Linked DNA regions of Ovis aries. The main gene of each other region encodes a partner of the protein of the gene in region 2 in a complex. Links are inferred from orthologs where the notes say so. Each region holds a gene or a part of one and is shown on either strand. Other genes may lie near its edges.

Region 1 (10,695 bases), on a different chromosome or scaffold from region 2:
ATAATACATTTATATTTATATTATATATAATTCACTATTAAAATTCAACATTCAAAAAATGAAGATCATGGCATCTGGTCCTATCACTTCATGGCAAATGGATGGGGAAAAGAGTAGAAACAGTGACAGATTTTATTTTGTTGGGCTCCAAAATCACTGTGGACAGCAACTGCAGCCACAAAATTAAAAGACACTTGCTCTTTGGAAGAAAAGCTATGACAAACCTAGACAGAGCATTAAAAAGCAGAAACATCACTTTGCCGACAAAGGTCCAGCTGGCTTTTCCAGTAGTCGTGTATGGATGTGAAAGTTGGACCATAAGGAAGGCTGAGCGCCAAAGAATTGATGCTTTTGAACTGTGGTGTTGGAGAAGACTCTTGAGAGTCCCTTGGACAGCATGGAGATCAAACCAGTCAATCCTAAAGGAAATCAATCCTAAATATTCATTGGAAGGACTGATGCTGAAGCTGAAGCTCCAATACTTTGACCACCTGATGCAAAGAGCCAACTCTCATTGGAAAAGACCCTGATGCTGGGAAAGACTGAGAGCAGGAGGAGAGGGAGCGACAGAGGATGAGATGGTTATATAGCATCACCGAGTCAATGGAGTTTGAGCAAGCTCTGGGAGATGGTGAAGGACAAGGAAGCCTGGCGGGCTGCAGTCCATGGGGTTGCAAAGAGACACAATTTAGTGACTGAACAAAAGAAAAACACTGAAATAAATATTTAATTATCAAAATAAAAAATGTTCTCATACCTCCTAAAATCACCCTGAAGCAGTGTCTGCATTCCTCACTTTGGGAATCACATATTCAAAGATTGGTCCAAACATCTCATTTTCAGTGGGGGCAGTGAGGCCCAGAGGGATGAATTCACTTATTGGAGGTCTAGTTTCTCAGTCAGTGGGAAGGTCAGTCTGGTCAGAGGAGAGAAAAGAGAAAATAAAGGAATCAGTGTTATCAGTCTTAACATTTTTGGAGAGAGGCCCTACCCTGTCATCTCATCGGAGCCCAGATATCAGTGTGGAGCTACCTTGGCAGAGCCATTTTAAGCCTGGATCTTAGATATTCTTATCTTTGGAGGTCCTGATCCATATCACATCATATATATTACAAGGTGTGCCCATTGACCCTTATTAATTTCAATTTTGCTATTTTCTTCTACTTGTATTTTGAAGCCAATGGATTTTTGAAGCTTCAACAATTTTTGGCAGGTCCTAGGATTACAGCCTGCCATGCCTAATGGATAAAGTGGCCCTGGGACTGGTAAAGAATCTCATCAGAGACACACTAAAGAACGATTTAATTATTCTAGCCCTTTCTCCTGGTATCTTTAACGGGTAATGTGGACAGGCCACTGACAACTAAATGGATGAGTTTCCAGTGGTGAAATCTTTGCTGTTCTGCGAGTCCAGTGGGGGCAGTGCTGCTGCAGGTAGGCTAAGTGCCATGTGACTGGTAAGGTGCTCCCACTCTGTGCCTCAGTCTCCTTATTAAGTAAAACAAACGGATTAGATTCCAAGAGAGTCAATCATCTAGAAATCAAGTTCTTGGCTTCTTCACAGTAACCTTTCAACCAGTTTTCCACGTACGACTAATAAGCAGATCAGGAGCATTTATTGCAGAAAGGTCTAGAAGGGTATACACCAAGTTACTGACACGAATTATTACCAGAGGAGGAAAATGGAAAGCAATGATGACAGATTCTTTACACATCTTGAATTGTTTCACTTGTTATATTAAGCACATTATCACTTTGTAATGAAAACATTAATAAAGAACAGTTAAAGAAAAGCAACCACTTTGCTCATTTAAAAACACTGATAAAGAGTGTGTATCTAATGCACATGGTCTGTTACTTTAAAAAGAGTGAGTAAGTTCACCAGAAACTAAAATTCCAAAGTCTAAATATTAATCTATACCAGACGTTTGATGAAGCAGAAGCATCAGGGGTGCCTCTGGGGTTTTATGACATTCCCCTGGCCTGAATCCTATTCTGGTGCACTCCCCTGTAATTAAATGAATTAATGTGAGTAATGAATCACAGTGCCTGCCAACAGCAAGTACTCTATCTCCCAATGAGGTCCCATAGAATCCAGGTCTTTACATACTGCTAAATGGGATAAATAGCACATATTGTTGAAAGCAGGGATGTCCCTTCATCCCCAGTCAAAGCCGCCTTGAATGGCTCCACTTACTAATCTGTTAAGATTTGCTGATCTAGGGGGTAGCCCTGACCTGCCTTCAGTTGTTGCTAACCAGGTTAACTTAGAAAAACTAGGTACTGGTCAGCATATTCTCTATCACATCACCTGTTTGTTTCCTTCGAAGTGCTCATCACAACAGAAAACTCTTGTTTGTCATCTGTTGTCTGCCTTTTCACTAGAGTATAAGCTCCCCAAGGGCTAGGACCTTGTTTGCCTTGTTCACTGCTATAGCCCAAATGCACGCCCGGCACCGAGTAGATGCTCAATAAATATTCCTCCCCTGCACCTCCTCAAATCACAGGTCAGGTTTCCTTTCCAAGATTATTCTTGATTGTTGAGGTCGACCTTCACTTTTCCCTTTGAACTACATGTGACCTCTATTAAAACCTGTGTGTATGGCTACCAGGCACAAAGACTTGGCATAAAGAGAAATATATTGAAACATAAACACAAGCCAAGTAATTAATTAAGGAAAGTCTGTTGCTTGCAACTCAGGTTTGCAGCTGGCATATAATTCCACTGATTATGATTTGTTTGCTCCTTGTCCCTAAGTTTGAAGCAGCCAAGGTCATTCAGTGAGTGAGTGATAGTCGCTGAGTTGTGTCGAGGTCTCTGTGACCCCATGGATTGTAGCCTGCCAGGCTCCTCTGTCCATGGAATTCTCCAGGCAAGAATACTGGAGTGGGTAGCCATTTCCTTCTCCAGGTTTGAAGCAGCCAAGGTTATTTAAAGGGCCCCCAATTCAAAACTCACCTGCCTTGGAGGCTCAAACAGTCTCTTTTCCATCAGCTTAACACATACAGTATCTAGAGCCTAAAAACTTTTTATGCTGGCTTCAAATTAAAATAGTTCACTGGGTCAAAGGCTTGCCTTTGGTCCAAGGTGCAGGAGGGTCAATGAATGTTGGCTAAATCCCGAAACCGCAGCTTGGCTCTTTCTTAAATTGATCTGTGGACTGTTTCCAGGAAACCAAAGATGATCGGTCCACCTGGCAGCAGGCAGGCTGCGAACTGGAGGCGATTCTGCCCTGGCCAAGGGCCATGGCCCCCTCGTGGCCCCGAGGAAGGCAGCATTTCATCGGGCCTTTTGGATGTTATGGCGGGCGGCTGGCTTCTCCCGCCGCGGCGTGCTCTCCACGCGGTGCACAGACGTCTCCACCCGCAGGGACGAGGCCCTGACGTGGCGGGAAGCCGTCTCTGTGAGCTGCGAGGCGGTTTCCACGTGCTGGGAGGACACCTCGAGGACTCGAGGGAGCCGCTTCCCAGAGGAGGAGACGGAGGGTCCCTCGCTGCTGCGCTGGGTGGTCTCCACCTGCCGGGAAGATGTCCTCACGTGACGGTAGGATGTCTCCACGCGGTGGGACGAGGTCTCCACGCTGACCGTCGCCGTCTCCTCGGAGCGGATGGATTCCGCCCGGGCCGGAGAGGGCTTTCCCCGAAGGGGTGAGGCCATCTTATGGGGGTAACAGGGCCAAGCTGACCTTTGGAGGCCCCACAGCCCCACAATCCCCGAAGGATTATTTTATACGGTGAGGAGCGACGTCACATGCCATTGTGATGCAGGCAGAGCGGTGGTCGAGGGTCCCGCGAACCACGTGGAGGCACCGTGATCTTGGGGCGGGGAGGCCTAAGATTCCTTGGGAACGCTGGGTTCGTCCCCTCGAGAGCGCCGTCTGCCCCCGCATCGCCCCTTAGCCTGTCAAGAACCTGTCCGGGTGGAGGCGGGGTTGGGGCGGGGCGGGCCCTGGATGGGCGGAGCCACCCGCCCCCTTGCGAAGCTGTGCCCACCCCCGCATCCCACACTGCCCCGCGGCAGGAAGGGGACGCTGCGACTTCCGGACCTTCCCTGTTTCTCCGATCCTGGCTGTGTGGGGTTGCTGGGGACTTAAGAGTGTCTGCTGGTGATGGCCGCGGCCGTCGCTATGGAGACAGGTGAGTAGCGCTCTGAGCCTCGCGTTTTGTCAAATAGAAACTGTCCCGGGTCCAGACACCTGCTTCCCGGGATTTTTTGAGAATCCAGGCCCAACTCCCGGCAGAGTGAGTGATCGGAGCGGGAGGCACCAGGGTTTTTTTTTAGCGACTGGAAGGGCGAAGGTAATTTGGCCTTTTCAGAGTTTGTTTTGTTGGCCGATCCTTTCTCCCCGTTAGTTATTCAAACAGTGGCCCCACCGGCTTCCAGAAGACTAAAGGAGAGATTTTGGATCATAAACCGCTTCCTCGAGTTGTTTTTTTGCATCTCAGATGAGCTTGCCTAAGTTTAAAATATCGTCAGCGAACTCTTGTATTACTGTGCCACTAACGGGTCTCACGTAAGCACGCGTTTCTTGATACTCACCAGGGTCTCTTTCATCTTGCATTCTGAACGTCTCTTGATGGATTTAGCATTTTGTTTTTGCTAAGCTTGATCACTTAACAGCTTGTAACGCACTATCAAAATAAGGCAAGGCACATTGCTGCAGCTTATCCTAGTGATCACTGTGAAGTCCCAACATGGTGGCTCACGAGTGATTAATGTTCTGCTCCATGTATAATCTTGTTTTCTTTGATAATTTAACTTTAGATAAACCTTTTTTTTTTTTTTTTTTTCTTAATCAGGGCTTTGCTTTCCTTAGACTTATAAGGAAGGTGTTTCTCCTCCTACACCCAGTTTAGGAAAACCTTTGCATGCTCTTCTTTATGTAACTCAGCATTAGTCAGATGTCTGTACTGCTGTTTTCTGTCTAAAAATCAGTATTATATACAGTGACATTTATTTTGGATGATTTTGCTATCTTCTCTCCTAGATGATGCTGGAAATCGACTGCGGTTTCAGTTGGAGTTGGAATTTGTACAGTGTTTAGCCAACCCAAATTACCTTAACTGTAAGTTGTTGAGCACCTCATTGAAGTGAATAGCTAGTTACGATTTCTGATAGAAGAGTCAAAATTCATAGTACTGTCAGCCCTTTGTATCCTTGGAGGCAACCTCAGTTGGTGGAATCTGCCCATCCTGAGGGTGACAATACTGTCATGGCACTATGTTGTTTTGTACAGGAGATTGGAGCACCTGTGGATTCTCGTGTCTGCGGGGCCTCTTAGAACCAACTCCCTGTGGATTCTGAGAGATGACTTTAGTATCTAGTTTTGTACATTCTTAACTGAATGGAATGACTGTTGCACTTATACTGGTATATATAATTGAGCAAACTGGGACTTCTGTTTTGAATTCAGTGTGTGTTGGTGGTGGGAATGTTATGTAAGTAAATTCTTTACGATTATGTTAGTCACAGATCAGTAGTCCAAGGACTGGTGTGCTCTACAGATGTATTTTTTTTTTTTTTTTTATGCCTTTCAGTTCTTGCCCAAAGAGGTTACTTCAAAGATAAAGCTTTTGTTAATTATCTTAAGTACTTGCTTTACTGGAAAGAACCAGAATATGCCAAGTATCTAAAGTAAGTTTAATTTTTATAGTCCTAAACATGTGTGTACTTTTATTATATTCCAAAGCACTGATATTTAATAGACTTCTTACTTTCACGTTGGAAAAAATACCTGTTGAATCTCTGCTCTCCTTTCAGTTGCCTCCATTTTAATACGAGACACATCATCTCTAACTTAACTGGGATTACTGCAGTATCTACTCATTGGTATTCCTCCTTTCTCCCTGCCCTGCCAAACAAAGAAGAAACATTTTCTGCACAGAAGCCAACTTGGTCTCTTAAAAATAGAAATTACATTCCATTAGAACCCTTTGGTCGCTTCCCATTGCATGCAGAAGAAAATCTCGTCTCTTAGCCCTGTGTGATCTGTCCCTGTCTTCTCTGACCTTATCTTGTACCACTCCCTGCATCTCACTGAGTTTCTGACCTCAAGGAACCCGCAGTCCATATATGCAATGACAGCCATAGCCTGAAAATGAAAAAACATAGAAAGAGGTACTTACTTGTAAGCAAGGGTTTCTGGAGAAGGTAACCGTACCCGAGTCTTAATAGCTGCTTTCTTATTTTATATATCTTACATAATAAATACATGAATTTATCATTCAGGTTGTGCAATAGATACTCTCGTTTTAAGGCTTACTGAAATGCAAGGAGCATATTGTAATCACAAACATTTCTTTTTAATGATAAAAAATAAGCCTTGAACACCCACCTCTGCTTTGTCTTAAATAGGTAGTCAAAAAGCAGTGGTGAAATGTCTAGCCTTTTTTTTCCCCTAAACAGACACAAGTTTGAGAGGAGAATGTTTAAGACTTGTACTTTGGCCAAGCCACTTTTCTCTGTCTAATAACAGCTGCTTTATGAAGTCCACATCCTCCTTTTGCCTGTGGGACCCTTTCCACCCTTACTGGCCCTTTATAAAAGAACCACTTATTCATTTAATAATCCAGAGAAAATATATATATTTTTTTACTAGATTGCAACATGTTATATGTATGTATTATAGACTTAGAGACTCAGTGTTGGACACTGAGCCCTGGACACCGTCAGGTTCAATTTTACCCACAACATTGCTGAGATGGTCATCTGTATACTGGCTGGAGGTTTCTAGTGAACACATACTAATTCAGGGGCAGCCAATTCCGTTGTTAGCTAGATTCCAGAAAGTTCCTCCTTGTATTATTGTGTCCGACTCTTTGCAACCCCATAGATTGTAGCCTACCGGGCTCCTCTGTCCATGGGATTTTCCAGGCAATAGTACTGGAGTCGATTGCCATTTCCTTCTCCAGGGGATATTCCCAACCCAGGGCTTAAACCCAGGTCTCCCACATTGTAGACAGATGCTTTACCGTCTGAGCCACCAGGGAAGTCCTATAACATGATATACCTCTATGTAACTTTAACTCATGTTTTGAGTTTTGACCCTGAATTAATCCAGAACCAATCTATGCCTTCTTGAAGAATAACCATTCAGATATTTAAATTTAAGAGAGGCTGCAAATTAACTCCCATTTCATTTCTACACAAGGTTTTTGTTTAGTAGTTGTCAAAATTTAAAGATTGGAGAGTTTCATATTTTGATTCAGATTTCTAAGCTTCTCTTTAAAAATTTGGAAGATCTGATAACCCCAGGTCTTTGTTTTCCCAGGTCAGTCATTGGCTAGAGCAGAGCAGCAGCTACCTCTTCTAGACAATGTCCTCCACCATTTCACTAATAGCAACGACCTGCAGCTGTAATTTATCTCTTACATTCAAGGATTCACAATGTTGATTTTCTGGTGGCTCAGACTGTAAAGCAATGGCACCCCACTCTAGTACTCCTGCCTGGGAAATCCCATGGGCGGAGGAGCCTGGTGGTAGGCTGCAGTCCATGGGGTCGGAAGAGTTGGACACGACTGAGCGACTTCACTTTTACTTTTCACTTTCATGCATTGGAGAAGGAAATGGCAACCCACTCCAGTGTTCTTGCCTGGAGAATCCCAGGGACGGGGGAGCCTGGTGGGCTACCATCTACGGGGTCGCACAGAGTCGGACACAACTGAAGTGACTTAGCAGTAGCAGCAGACTGTAAAGCATCTGTCTACAATGCGGGAGACCTGGGTTCAGTGCCTGGGTTGGGAAGATTCCCTGGAGAAGGAAATGGCAATCCACTCTAGTACTCTGGCCTGGAAAATCCCATGGACAGAGGAGCCTGGTAGGCTACAGTCCATGGGATCGCAAAGAGTTGGACACGACTGAGCGACTTCACTTTCACTTATGTCAGCTAAAATCCTTCAGTTCTCATTTTCATCAGTGCTGTTAGTTGAGTTCTCCATTTATTTCTCATTTGTTTTTTAAAAAAATCTAAATGCAAACTTTGCTTTTGTATCTCTATTTCGTCTTGTTGGTTGATGCTATAATTGTCACCTATTAAAATATTTATAGTCCCTTATTTTGAGCATGGTCTTCTCCAAGTCTTATAAGTGATCACTGTATGTCTAAGTTCCAGTTATTGAGAAGTAGCATTTGCTACTTGAAGACAGTCCTCTTGGTTATCACATTAATTTATTTTACGGAGGAAGAAACTAATCCTTAAGAAAGGTTAAGTACCCTGTTCAAGGACACCCAGCTGTAGAATGGGCAGAGCTGGTTTCAAACCTAGGTCTTTGTTGATAGAACATCCTCATGAGAAGGAAATAGCTAGAGTAGATGTGAGTAGGGCTTTCCAGGCTTCAGTTCAGTTCAGTCGCTCAGTCGTGTCCGACTCTTTGTGACCCCATGAATCGCAGCACGCCAGGCCTCTCTGTCCATCACCAACTCCTGGAGTTCAATCAGACTCACGTCCATCAAGTCAGTGATGGCATCCAGCTGTCTCATCGTCTATTGTCCCCTTCTCCTCCTGCCCCCAATCCCTCTCAGCATCAGAGTCTTTTCCATTGAGTCAACTCTTCGCATGAGGTGGCCAAAGCTGCTGACAATTACAAGCAACTATGTATCTCTGGAGTATAGGAAGCAAATGTTCAATAAGGAAACATTGTGTTGGGGCCTGCTGTTGTCCTCAGACCAGCAGCATTGAATGCAGAGCTCAGGCTCCACTCCAGATTGATGACCTGGTTCAGCTGGTGGCTGCTAGTTTTCTCTGTATCAAATTACTTGTTCTTCGCTTTGTATTTAATGCCTATCTTGTGAGGGAATGCTTTGAGACGGTAAATATAGTGTTTCATATTTCAGTTTTTTACCTAACTTTGGCAATCTATGGAAAATACTTGCTTGAAAGCTTTTTCTGTGATTTTCTAATTCCATAATTCTTTATTCATTTGTTAGTTGAAATTCAGTTGTAAGGACAGAATATTTCCTTGTTCCTAATTTATTTATTCATTTTATAAAGTTACATCAGTATGGACTCCTGGATTCTTTATCTTATGGGTTATAATTATGTATCTTCTTGAACTAGTGATCCTGGATACAGCCAATGGGAACACCTTCAAACTGGCTCCTGTGTACTTTCAACAAATCCCTATATTTTTTGAGCATTTTTCTTTCTGCCACTATGTAATAGTCCAGGCTCATCTTTTACTTTCCCTGTGTTAGCCGTAGCATCAGCCACGTCTCCAACCAACCCTGGATAATACTATTTAAAATCCATGATCTGGGTACTCGGTGTGCTCATTGGTCCTGGAGTGTCATTGATTCTAGGCTCTCTCAACACATAAAGCTAGAAATGGGTCTGTGTGTATCTATTTCTATATCTGTGTGTGTGCGCACGTGTATAAAGCCATGAGTTCATCCTGATGTTTTCAGTTCCAACTTAATAACAGGATTCATTCTAGCCTTCCCCCTTCCTTATCTGAAACTACTTTTCTGAGAGCCAGAGGTTTGGCTTTCTGTTTATAGTGTATGTGCTCAACCTCTGAGTATATGTACATAATTTCAGAATTGTTATATCCCTGTGGGAAACAGGAATACAATATCTGCATAGTTTTTTCTGAAGTTGACTCACTTTTAAAAGCTGTCTTATCATAGTTTATGGAAAACCAATAGGTATTAAACACATAATTATGAAAATAAAGTGTTCCTATCCCTTACCTTGGAAATCACCGAAGAGAATAGTGTGATTTGCGCCCAGATGTTGACCAGTTATTGTGTTACCAGTTGACAGTAACGCTATTTACCAGTTACTGTGTGGTCTTCTGTAAATTATTTAATCTTTCCAAGCTTACATTTTCTCACATTTGAAAATTTTGCTGACTTTTGATGATTAGCTTTTCTGTATATGCAGGAAAAAAAAAGTATTACCAAAGTATACCAAGTTAATGTTACAGAAATGATAGAGTGCAAAAGCATGTTTAAGTGAGTTAACTAGAGCGTGGTATTATTATGTCAATCATTAACTTATAAACTTAACCCCAGGTACCCTCAGTGTTTACACATGTTAGAACTGCTCCAGTACGAACACTTCCGCAAGGAGCTGGTGAATGCTCAGTGTGCGAAATTTATTGATGAGCAGCAAATTCTGCACTGGCAGCACTATTCCCGGAAGCGGATGCGCCTTCAGCAAGCCCTGGCGGAGCAGCAACAGCAGAATAACACATCAGGAAAATAAAAAGCTGGACCCTGACCAGGCTCCTAAGACATGTATATATTGCTTTTGTACAGTGAAGACAAAAAAACTGTTCCTATGTACCTTTATTATGGTAGCAGCCAGAACTGTTAGTGTGCTTATTTAATTGAACTTTTATTGTTACTAGATTATTTCTGTTAAACCAGAATTGTTTTACTTTGATTTTCCTGTGGATTTGTAAGCTTTTATTAGTATTTAACACAGAAATGTCTGAAGAACAGAAATGTTAGGTACTGCATACCTATTTAAGGCAGTGGGGCATGAGGTAAGGGGAGGGCCGCCAAGCCAAACCCTGCTCCTCATGTACAGTGGGGCCTGGGACAGGTCTGTCTCCTGGAGCCTTGCTGTCCCTCACATCAGCTACCCGACCTGTCCTCTGCCAAGTGATAGTCAGTGACCTCTTGACATCAGACACCAGGAACTGCATTAAGGTTCTTAAATTCTACAGGCCAGAGACATACCTGTGTCACGG
Region 2 (10,682 bases):
AATATGCAAGGTTAAGTCAAGACGAGGATCCCAGTTCAGTTCAGTTCAGTTGCTCGGTCGTATCCGACTCTTTGCGACCCCATGAATCGCAGCACGCCAGGCCTCCCTGTCCATCATCAGCTTCCGGAGTTCACTCAGACTTGTGTCCATCGAGTCAGTGATGCCATCCAGCCATCTAATCCTCGGTCGTCCTTCTCCTCCTGTCCCCAATCCCTCCCAGCATCAGAGTCTTTTCCAATGAGTCAACTCTTCCCATGAGGTGGCCAAAGTACTGGAGTTTCAGCTTTAGCATCATTCCTTCCAAAGAAATCCCAGGGCTGATCTCCTTTAGAATGGACTGGTTGGATCTCCTTGCACCTGAGAAATAACCACCTAACCAACTTGGAAGTTATCCTATTCTTGATTTTACCCTTAAATCAGGTAATATCATCCTTACCATTTAAGTCAACTTTGGATAGGTTTTCTTGAGTATTCATATAATCTTTCAAGTGGTAAACTGAGGTCCAACGAGAATTATGATTTGTCAAATGTTGGTCAACTGGGGTGTTATCTAAGTGGAAGGTTCCAGAAGAAAATGAAAAGTTTGAGTGACCTACAATTTTTAGCAAGCCAAACTGTCTCCAGTGTATTAAAAACTCTACAGGGATTAAAATAACCCACATTTATCTCACTTAGAACTGTTTTAAAAAATTCATTAAGTCAAGTGATAAATGGAAAATTATATAAAAGCTCTTCACAAATAAAGATGAACAATGAAGAAAAGGAAATTCATGTAAGGAAAAAATGTCCAATAAACACAAAAATTTAAGTCTCACTGATCGTGGTTTTTTTTTTTTTTTTAATTAAAACCAGTCACCACTTCACATCAAACGGGAAAAATGTGTTATCGTGGTCACACCCAGTTTTGGCAGCTGTGTTGGAACCTCATTTACAACTGGTAGGAGTGAAAATTGAAACATTTCTGGAAGGCATTTGGCAATACATGGCAGAAGACTTAAAACAGTGCATACTCTCTGACCCAGCAGTTCCCTAGAATTTATCCTGAAGAATGATCACACATGACAAAAAATATCTAATTAAAAGTACTAGCGACACCGGATAGTTTATAAAAGCAAAAACATGGGATCTAACTAAAAATCCCAAAGTAGAGGAAACAGTTACGTTTTGGAAAATCCTAATGATAGGATACAAATAATGATTACAATTATCAACATTTAAATACAAGCTCTGCTCATTTGTAGCTGAATTGCTCAGGGAAAGCTAATTACTCTTTTTGCACCTCAGTTTCCCTGCAAAATACGGGTCGTTGTGAGGGTTAAGTTAATAAACATACCTAAAGCACTTAGGATAACACTGACACATAATAAGAACTCAATAGAAACTTTTTTTTTAAGCAGAGGAACACTGTAGCCTAATATCCTAGAAAAATGTTACTGATTTTAAAAAATGATTATAAGCCAGTACATACACAATATTTTTCTAAAATATACCTCATATATATACATTTCTAAAAATAAAGCCTAGAAGGATATAAAACAGAATAGAAACTGTACATCTCAGGACGTCCCTGGTGGTCCAGTGGTTAGGAAACTTCTACTACAGGGGGCGTGGGTTTGAGCCCTGGTTTGGGAACTAAGTTCCTGCATGCCATGCATGAGGCACACCAAAAAACACACAAAACCCAGCACATCTCTTTAAATAACAGGATTATACATTATCTTCCTTATTTGTGTCTGTATTTAATTTTTTTCCACAACAAACACGTGCTACCCGTACAAAAGGTAAAAGCTATCTATCATCTACCAAATTTAAACAAAACACTGTCATATATTTGCTCCAGTTGGTGATGAGTCCATCCCAAATTAGTAGGGTAGTACGGTAAAGAATCAGAATGGGAGACATTTCTCCTTACGCTTTTATTACTGCACAATACAAACTTGGTCTCTATTTTACAAACCTTATACATAAAAAGTTTTCTTCCCGAAAGCTACTTTAGTCCAATTTCCCTTCTTCCTGCAGAAGGATGATCTAGATTCTCCACGTTATTCTTAGCATTTAAGATAGAAAAAAAAAAAAAAAAATAAGATAGAAAGCCTGTCACAAAAGTGAACTGGCCATATGAGGAAATCAGTGCAAAAACAACTGAGTTCTCACTGGCTTCCATCCTGAGGGAAGAATGCATGGCTGGCAGTGGTGAAATGGGGCAATTATAACATCTTTTCTTGTAACAGCTGAGGGCAAGCCCCAGTGGACAGATTGTCTTAGTCACATGAGCCTTTTGGGGTCTATTTTCTCGAGGTGAACCAGAGGTTTCAGCTGCTCTGCAAAGTTCCTCATGTCATCAGAGACCATGTCCTGCCCAGCTGGTGCAACAACGCTTAGTTCCACGAGATAGGACAGTGACAAGGCCTCAGTGTTGTCTGTGTTCCCTGGCACCAGGATGCGGAAGATCTTGTATACCACGATCTTCATGATGCCTTTCCGGAACAAGTGTCCCCTGGCAACAAACTCGTGGTCCATGCGAAAGCCCATTTCCATGAGGAAGTCAGTGAGGTTCTCAGATGTTGCAATGTCTACGCAGTTACGCACCAGGGCATGGCGGTTCTTGTCTCCCATCTCTGGCTGTCCCAGGTAGCGAAGATGCCAGGGTGCCCCTGCCCTATCCAGAGAGCGTCGGGCCCTTAGAACAAATGGACTGGCCTGCTGGCCCTTAAGGAGGAATACCATCTCGTGGTCAACAAAAGTCTCGGGTTCCATGTTGTCACATAAACCACGAAGGCGGTGGATGAGGCTTTCCAAGCTGTGATCTAAAACACTTCCTGAAGAAGGAAAAAAGCACTATTGAGTTCCATCTTTCATTTTGGGTAATGGAATTAGCAAGAGACTGAAAAAACTTAAATGAAAAACCAAAATAATTTAGTGCAGTGTTTTGTAAACCATAGGCCCAATATATGAGATTGTAGGAGGTTACACTGCCAAGATATTATGTTAATCTCTTTTCAATTTTTTGTACTGTTTTATTTGGTACTAGAAGTTAGGCCTTGTTTAGTAATGCTAACCTCTAGCAGACTTTGGGGTTTAACAGGCAACAGTATCTACCTAGAATAATTATTTTATTCCATTCTATTATAAAATAATATATATTATTTTATATAAGACAAAAAATACTAAATAAAACAGCATGTGTGTGTGTTAGTTGCTCAGTCGTGTCTGACTCTGCAACCTCATGGACTGTAGCCTGCCAGGTTCCTCTGTCCATGGGATTTTGCAGGCAATACTAGAGTGGGTGGCCATTTTCTTCTCCAACAGAATAGTGTATTTCCCTGCAATCTCTTTTCACTTTCCCGCTTTATTTTTCTTTAGCTTATCACCTCAACTCTTTAGTCATCTTTTAACATATCAGTGTATTGACTTTTTAATAATTTTTCTTTCTCTACTGCTGATACTCCAATGTGAGAAACATATTCCTTTATTGACTAAATCTGTTAAAGTAAATAAAAATATACTACTATAACTACAGTAAATATTGGCAGTGGTATTCAAATGACTAAATTTTTGGAAAAGCAACAGAGTGGGTCCCAGTTATCAAAGGACAGAAGATCACAAGAGTAGGGAGTAGGTCCTACATTCAGAACAGTGTCAGCCATGTGTTTTTTCATTCTTCAAACATTTAAGGAGCTTTGTTAAGTGCTGGTTCATACACTTACACTTACTGAATGGCACCATGCTAAGAAGTAGGGGGCCTGGCCTGCCCAGAGATTATAGTTTAGTGGGGGAAATGAAAAAAATAAGTAAACCAATAAACAAGAGATAAACGGGGTGTTGAATAGAGAGCAACCAGTATGGGTGGAGAAGAGGAGACCTCTTTGAGGGCTTGGAATAGTCAGAGAAGATCTCTAAGGGAATGACAACTGAGTTGAGGCCTGAGGAATAAATATGAGATGGCTATGTGAAGGGCTGGAACAAAGTATAGACGCCGGGGGATCAGAGGTAGCAAAGAGCTTGGGGAATCCAAAGAAATGAAAGTGTGGCTGAAGTATGGTAAGCAAGATGGAAGATGATCATGAAATGAGCATTTGGGATGGGCCAAAGCAGGCAGGACTTATGTGTCGCCCATGCTAAAGGCTGTATTTTATTGTACGGCCACTGGGCAGTTATTAGCTCCACACTTTATTCTCCATGCAACAAGGAAAGATATGACTGGATTTACATTTTAAAAAGATCATTCTAGGAAAATTGGTATGGATGCTTCAACCAGACAGGGTCACATGAAAAAAAGTGGCAATGAGGGGAGGCGGGTCCAAGTTAAAAAAGGCTTAAGAGACACGGTTTTCATATGTAATGCATGAGATGATATTATGCCCTGGATCAAAACACAAGATGGAGGAAACTTCTGAATATGAATTATATATTAGATGATATCAGAAATATACTATGACTCTTTCAGGTAATAATGATAGTATTGGGGTTATTAAGGAAAATACGCTTGCTTTTTTAGAGATGAATACTGAAAGTGTTTGGGGGTAAAATGTTACGAGATCTGAATCTGTCTTCAAAAACGGCAAAAGGAAAAAGATAGAGCAAATATGGCAAAAGGTCAGAAACAGACATCTAGATGACTAGATCTAGAAATCTAGGCTGACTGTTCACAGGAATTCCCTGGTCATCCAGTGGTTAGGACTTGGTGCTCCCAATGCAGGGGACCCAGGTTTCATCCCTGGTTCAGGAGCTAAGATCCTGCATGCCATGCTGCTGCTGCTGCTAAGTCGCTTCAGTTGTGCCCGACTCTGTGCAACCCCATAGACTCTATTTTCTTTTCTCTGAGATTGATTCCTGAATGCATGGCTTAAGCAACTGATGACTGACAGCGGCACTTACTGAGATGGGAAAGGCTGAAGTAGAGGCAGATTGAGGAGTGCAATTAACAATTTTATTTTGTCCATTGTAAGTTACTAAACGGATGATCTGAATTAAAGTCTAAATTCTTCCACTAAAGATTAAATGACCTCCAGAAAATCATAACCCTCCCTGGTCTTGAGCTTTCTCATCTGGGAAAGTTACTTCACTTCTATTTCCTGATCTAGAAGATGGAACTAATAACAGTATCATAACATTACCATATGATCTATTAATCTCACTTCTGGGCATTCACTCCTAAAGAATCCAAAGCAGGATCTTGAAGAGGTATGTGCACACTCATGTTCACTGAGTATTATCTATGATAACAATTTGGGTAGAAGCAATCCAAATGTCTGACAGACAAACGAATAAAGAAAATATGGTATGTACATACAGTGGAACATTATTCAGATTTTTAAAAGGAGATTCTCTTACATGCGAAAGGGTTAATGTTGAGGATATTATACTAAGTGAAATAAGCCAGTCATAAAAAGACACATACTGAATGCTTCCACTCCTATGAGGTTATCTAACGTTGTCAAAATTAGAAACATCAAGTAGAAAGGTTGTTGCCAAGGCCTACGGCAAGGGGAAAGGAGGAATTAGTGTTTAACAGGAATAGAATTTCAATTCTGCAAGATGAAAAAGTTCTAGAGATTAGCTATACAACAATGTGAAATACTTAACATTACTGAACTGTATGCTTAAAAATGTTTAATATGGTAAACTTAATGTTATGTATTTGTGACCATAATTAAAAGTAAATTGGGGAATAAAAGGGTGCCAGAAATTATGCAGGTAGCTTTTATATAACAGCCTCTCATCTCCATGGAAAGCGGAACAGAAAACAGGAAAACAGGTAATTCAAGCTCCCTAGTTCACTTACCCTGCAGCAGGTACTCCATCATGTTAATGGTGCCCCCGGTGACAGGCATCATGGTGACTGGAGGTGCCTCCATGTTTATCTGTTTAAGTTGAAAACGACAGAACTAGATTTGGAATCCCCAGTCAGGTAACACACAGGATACACCTGGGGAAGAGTTATACTTGTTAATACATGGGAGAGGCAGAGAGAGACCAGATCTGCTTGGGTCATTGGCCTGGAGATGAAAATTCATTCATCCACCCATTCAAAACTTTAGTAACTGCTATAGGCCAGTTTCAGGTGATCCAGAAATACACAAAGGAGGCCTGATCATGGAGTTACAGCATAATCTTTCAGTCTCAAGGTCTGAAACCCTTCAATGGTTTTCTGTGCACCCTGGGACTCAATGTCTTTCTTCTAAAATGAGGCCATGATATTAACCCCCAAGTCTTTGTGGCTCAGATGACATAATGGACCTGCAACTAAAGACTGAAAAGTGACTTAAGGACTCTTGTATGCCCTTCAATTTACAGATGAGGATGTTGAGGCTTGGGGAGGAGCCTAAGGACACACAATAGGTGGGTGGCAGAACCTATACCAGACTAAAATCTAGGCGTTCCACCTCTCTAAAAACCTTTTAAAGAGATTGAAGCGAAAGCACGAAGTTCTTTCCACTGATGCTTTGTGTTAGTCGTTCAGTCGTGTCCGACTCTTTGTGACCCCATCGACTTAGGCCTGGCTTCTCTATCCATGGGGCTTTCCAGGCAAGGATACTGGAGTGGGTTGCCATTTCCTTCTCCGGGGGAATCTTCCCAATTCAGGGATCAAACCCGGGTCTCCTGCATTGCAGGCGGATGCTTTACCGTCTGAGTTTACTAGGGAAGCCCCAATGATGCTTTAGGGCCTCCTAAACCCAGCATCAAAACGTGCCCACTTATACCAAAAACACACCGCCAAGCGCGTTCCAGCCTCTTCCAGGAAAGCGGGGGACCGTATTCACCCGAGCACCTCGGAGCTTTCGAGCAACAATCACCACCCCCAGCCCTAAACTTGAAAACCCCTAGGCAGTGCAACAATTCTCTCGCCTCTTCCCACGTCTGACAAAAACCTTTCGTCGCGCAAACCTCGACACCGCCACTCTGCGACGTAAGGGTGCCGAGAGGACAAAAAAAGTCTCTTCCGCTGTACGGCAAGCAGGGGCGCATGCGCAAACTCCGATGCTGCACGGAAGATGGCGGCCTCCTTAGGAGGGGTCCTTTGGGAGATTCAGGCGGCATTGCAGTCATACGCCATCTTCCAGGAAAATATTTTTTTCAACTGTGAAGACCTGGACGTGTTTTTGTCCAGGAAATCTCTTGGACCTGAAAGGACAAAGAGACCCTGGGGAAGAGAGCTTCAGAAAAAGAGGAGAGATTGTCGTAAAACAGAAACTTATTTTGGGTGGGTATCTGATGATAGAACTTCCCAGTTGCTCAGCGGTAATGAATCTGCCTGCAGGAGACACAGAAGCCTCTGGTTGGATCCCTGGGTCGGGAGGATCCCCTGGAGGAGGGCACGGCCGGAGGTTCACTCAGAACAGCTCCCGCTCCTAAGGAAGAGCTGCGCTTGGAGACTTTTGGTCCTCATCTGGCCCCTCCCTCCGGCCGGCGTGCGCGGCCCCGCGGGGCTGGGGTGGGGCCCACCTGCGCCTCCTGGGGGGCGTGCAACCCGCCTCAGTGGGACTCAGTCTCCTAACCACCGCCGCCGCCACACCTTACATCAGTTTGGCTTCTGATGTTTTCATTTCCCTTGCTGAGGTGCTGCTTCTGGGTTAAAGTCATCTTATTGCCTGTCCATTTGTAGACAGGACAAGGTCGCTCGAATAGATCAGGAGTCGAGCTCAGAGTGGGCTTCCCTGGTGGCTCAGATGGTAAAGCGTCTGATCCCCTGGAGAAGGAAATGGCAACCCACTCCAGTACTTTTGCCTGGAAAATTCCATGGCCGGAGGAGCCTGGCAGGCTACAGTCTATGGGATCGCAAAGAGTCGGACACGACTGAGCAACTTCACTCACTCCGGCTCAGAGTAGGTCAAAAGTACACACATGTTGGGAGGAGTGGGAATCAAAACAGAAGGAGGGTTGCCAAGTACAGCCAGGACTAGGTGTTCACCATGTATGCTTAATAAAGGCCAGAATCTCATCTGTCTCTGGTGGGAGGGTCTGTTGGTTTCACTGGATCGAATTCAACCGATCCGAACCAGTTTCATGGAATAAAACACTGGACTTCGGTGGCCACTGTTCCCATCAAGAAAGGATGGTCGCGTTTGGAAGTAAACATGTTGGAGAGCTGTAAACACCACAAACCTAAATACAGGTCACAAGGCTGAAACTGGGTCTAATCAGACCTGAAACCAAGGAAAAGAATTCGGCTTTTCCAGCTGGCTCTCCTATGAACTTTTGATGGTTTACTGCAGCTGGATTACAGGCACTTCCGAAGGTAGTGAGTCCTGTGGTGGGTCTTCCAGGCAGTTCTGGATAAGAGGCACTTTCCAGACTTCAAGACCGCAGAAGAAAAGTGCAAGAGTCAACTTTGAGTCAAGCTCAAAGGTAGTAGATCCAGGGACTGACAGATTAACCTACAAAAGTGACAAGAACAGTGGGAAAAACTAGCTGTTCTGCCCCAGGGGTGAGGGAAAATGTCTCAAATTGCAAACACTTACATCTATGATGCCCCAACAGACTTTATTGATTTTCAGTCAAATCATGACAAAGACACCGAAGGCATAGATTCTTCATTTGAGAAGGCCAGTTGGAGGATAAGGTACTGAGAACTGTGGAAAAACACCCTTTATCCTTTGATTCGCTGAAGAAAACACCAGTTACAGGAAGAAGAGAGAAGAACTGCAGACAGGTGAGGTGCCCTTCAGGTTCAAGGTGCACCCATTGCCTTAATTTGTCATCATTAATCTGTCAGAGAAGAAGGTGAAGAATACAACCAAGCCTGAAGGCCCAGATTCAGAATCCACAGCTGGAGGAAGAACTGAAACAGCAGAAAGCAGCAGCTTGCTTCGAGGGTAGTCCAAACACCACCATCTACCTCAAGCCCTTTTGTAGGGAAAGAGTAAATTAGCCAAGATGGCATGGTCAGGCCCTCTCTCTCTTGCCCCACATTTTGTAAATAATGATTATGTAACATCTGAGCTCATTTATAGCACTGCTCATGGGCATCAGGAGGTACTCACTTGGCCAAGGGCTTCTGTTTTTCTCTAAGCATGTGTGAGCTTTACCTGGAAAGCCCTGGTGGGCTATGTTATGGGTATGTGACGTTATGGCTGTTACTACGGCTGCTGATCAGCCAGGAGAAAGACTGCATTATGTTACATTATGGCTGTGTTATGGCCACCTTCTGGTTAGGTTAGGTTATGTGATGTTATGGCTGCCGCTACGGCTGCTGTGTCAGCCAGGAGAGAATAAAGGTGTCTGCAGTTCCTACTGCTCCTTGCATCTTCTTCCAGCCTCTTAGCTCGTGTCTTGCCTACTCTGGATTCAAAGAATAGTGCGGCACAGTGAGACACAGGCTGTAGCTCACCAGGCTCCTCTATCCATGGAATTTTCCAGGCAAGAATACTGGAGGGGGTTGCCATTTCCTACTCTAGGGGATCTTTCTGACCCAGGAATTGAACTCCTGTCTCCTGTGTCTTTTATATTGGCAGGCAGATTCTTTACCACTGAGCCCACCTGGGAAGTCCCTGCTAACCGTCAGACTGCCAGGGAATTCCCTTTTTAAACATTTTTAATGACATTTACTCAAATTTTACCTGGCATTTCAGAAGCGGCATTGAAAAAAAAGAATGAGTAAGAAACGGGTGGACAATATGGTAAAACTTGGACAAAGGCTCAGGAGTTATAGGGATGGGTTTCTGTATAAGGATGTGAGGCCTGGCGCTTAGAAGGGAGCTTGCTTCTGTCTTCTGTCGCTACCCAGCTGTGCAACCTTGGGCAATTCACTTCCCCTCTCTGAGCCTCAGCTTCCTTTGTTATAAAATAGAGTTAAAAATAGTACTTTCTGAAGCGGGGGAGGTTGTAAAAATAAAATGAGATGTTTATGAAACACAACATAGAGCCTGGCTTATTGTAAGCAATCAATAAATGATAGCTATTATTATTACACTTTATATCTCTCATTTGAGCAAACACATTCTATCTTAATGAATATATTTTGTGCATGTCTCATCCCCCAAAGTCAGAGAAGGCAATGGCACCCCACTCCAGTACTCTTGCCTGGAAAATCCCATGGATGGAGGAGCCTGGTGGGCTGCAGTCCATGGGGTCGCACAGAGTTGGACACGACTAAAGTGGCTTAGCAACAGCAGCATCCCCCAAAGTAGATTATAAACATCTTGAAGGGAGGAATCATGCATTTCCTTTTATATGTTTGTGTCTTAGACAGCTCAGGCTGCTGTAACAAAATATAAATGAAATGGCTTAGGAACAACAGAAATTTATTTTACATAGTTCTGGAGGGTGGACATCTGAGCTTAGGGTTCCAACATGATTGGGTTCTGATGAGCGCCCTCTTAAGGTTGCAGCTTGCCATCCTCTCCTTGTAGCCTCACATGGTGAAGACCAGAGAAAACTCCCTCTGAACTCTCATTAAGGGCACTAATCCCATTCACAGGGGCCCCCTTTCCTCTTGACCTCTTCTAACCCTAGCCATTTCCCAAAGGCCCTTGCTCCTAATACTGTCACATTGGCAGTAGTATTTCACCAATACCAGAAGTATTTCATTGGTAGGAGGGTTTCACCATAAGGATTTGGTGAGGGGGGACACAAACATTCTGTCTACAACAGTGTACTTTATAGGTAGTGGGTGTTCAAAACTGTTGAACACATCAAAATGACTACCAGTTATTGAACAGTTGCTATATACAACTTTACAC

Evidence for each region.
Region 1: MED18 (region 2) and MED31 share a complex: the UniProt entries of both Homo sapiens proteins name them as parts of the mediator complex. The link is inferred for Ovis aries from reciprocal best matches to the Homo sapiens genes MED18 and MED31.

What each region holds. Positions count from the first base shown.
Region 1 is NC_056064.1:25,112,293-25,122,987, forward strand, and holds the start of MED31 (mediator of RNA polymerase II transcription subunit 31), read left to right. Parts: upstream 1-4,042; 5' UTR 4,043-4,109; coding exon 4,110-4,137; intron 4,138-4,988; coding exon 4,989-5,066; intron 5,067-5,538; coding exon 5,539-5,635; intron 5,636-10,012; coding exon 10,013-10,205; 3' UTR 10,206-10,695. Other genes in the region: C11H17orf100 (uncharacterized protein C17orf100 homolog), read right to left, coding at 3,281-3,658. UniProt on the Homo sapiens protein: Component of the Mediator complex, a coactivator involved in the regulated transcription of nearly all RNA polymerase II-dependent genes.
Region 2 is NC_056055.1:238,799,698-238,810,379, forward strand, and holds MED18 (mediator of RNA polymerase II transcription subunit 18), read right to left. Parts: upstream 6,864-10,682; 5' UTR 6,716-6,863; exon of another isoform or gene 6,705-6,715; intron 5,930-6,704; exon of another isoform or gene 5,865-5,929; 5' UTR 5,859-5,864; coding exon 5,786-5,858; intron 2,820-5,785; coding exon 2,266-2,819; 3' UTR 811-2,265; downstream 1-810. UniProt on the Homo sapiens protein: Component of the Mediator complex, a coactivator involved in the regulated transcription of nearly all RNA polymerase II-dependent genes.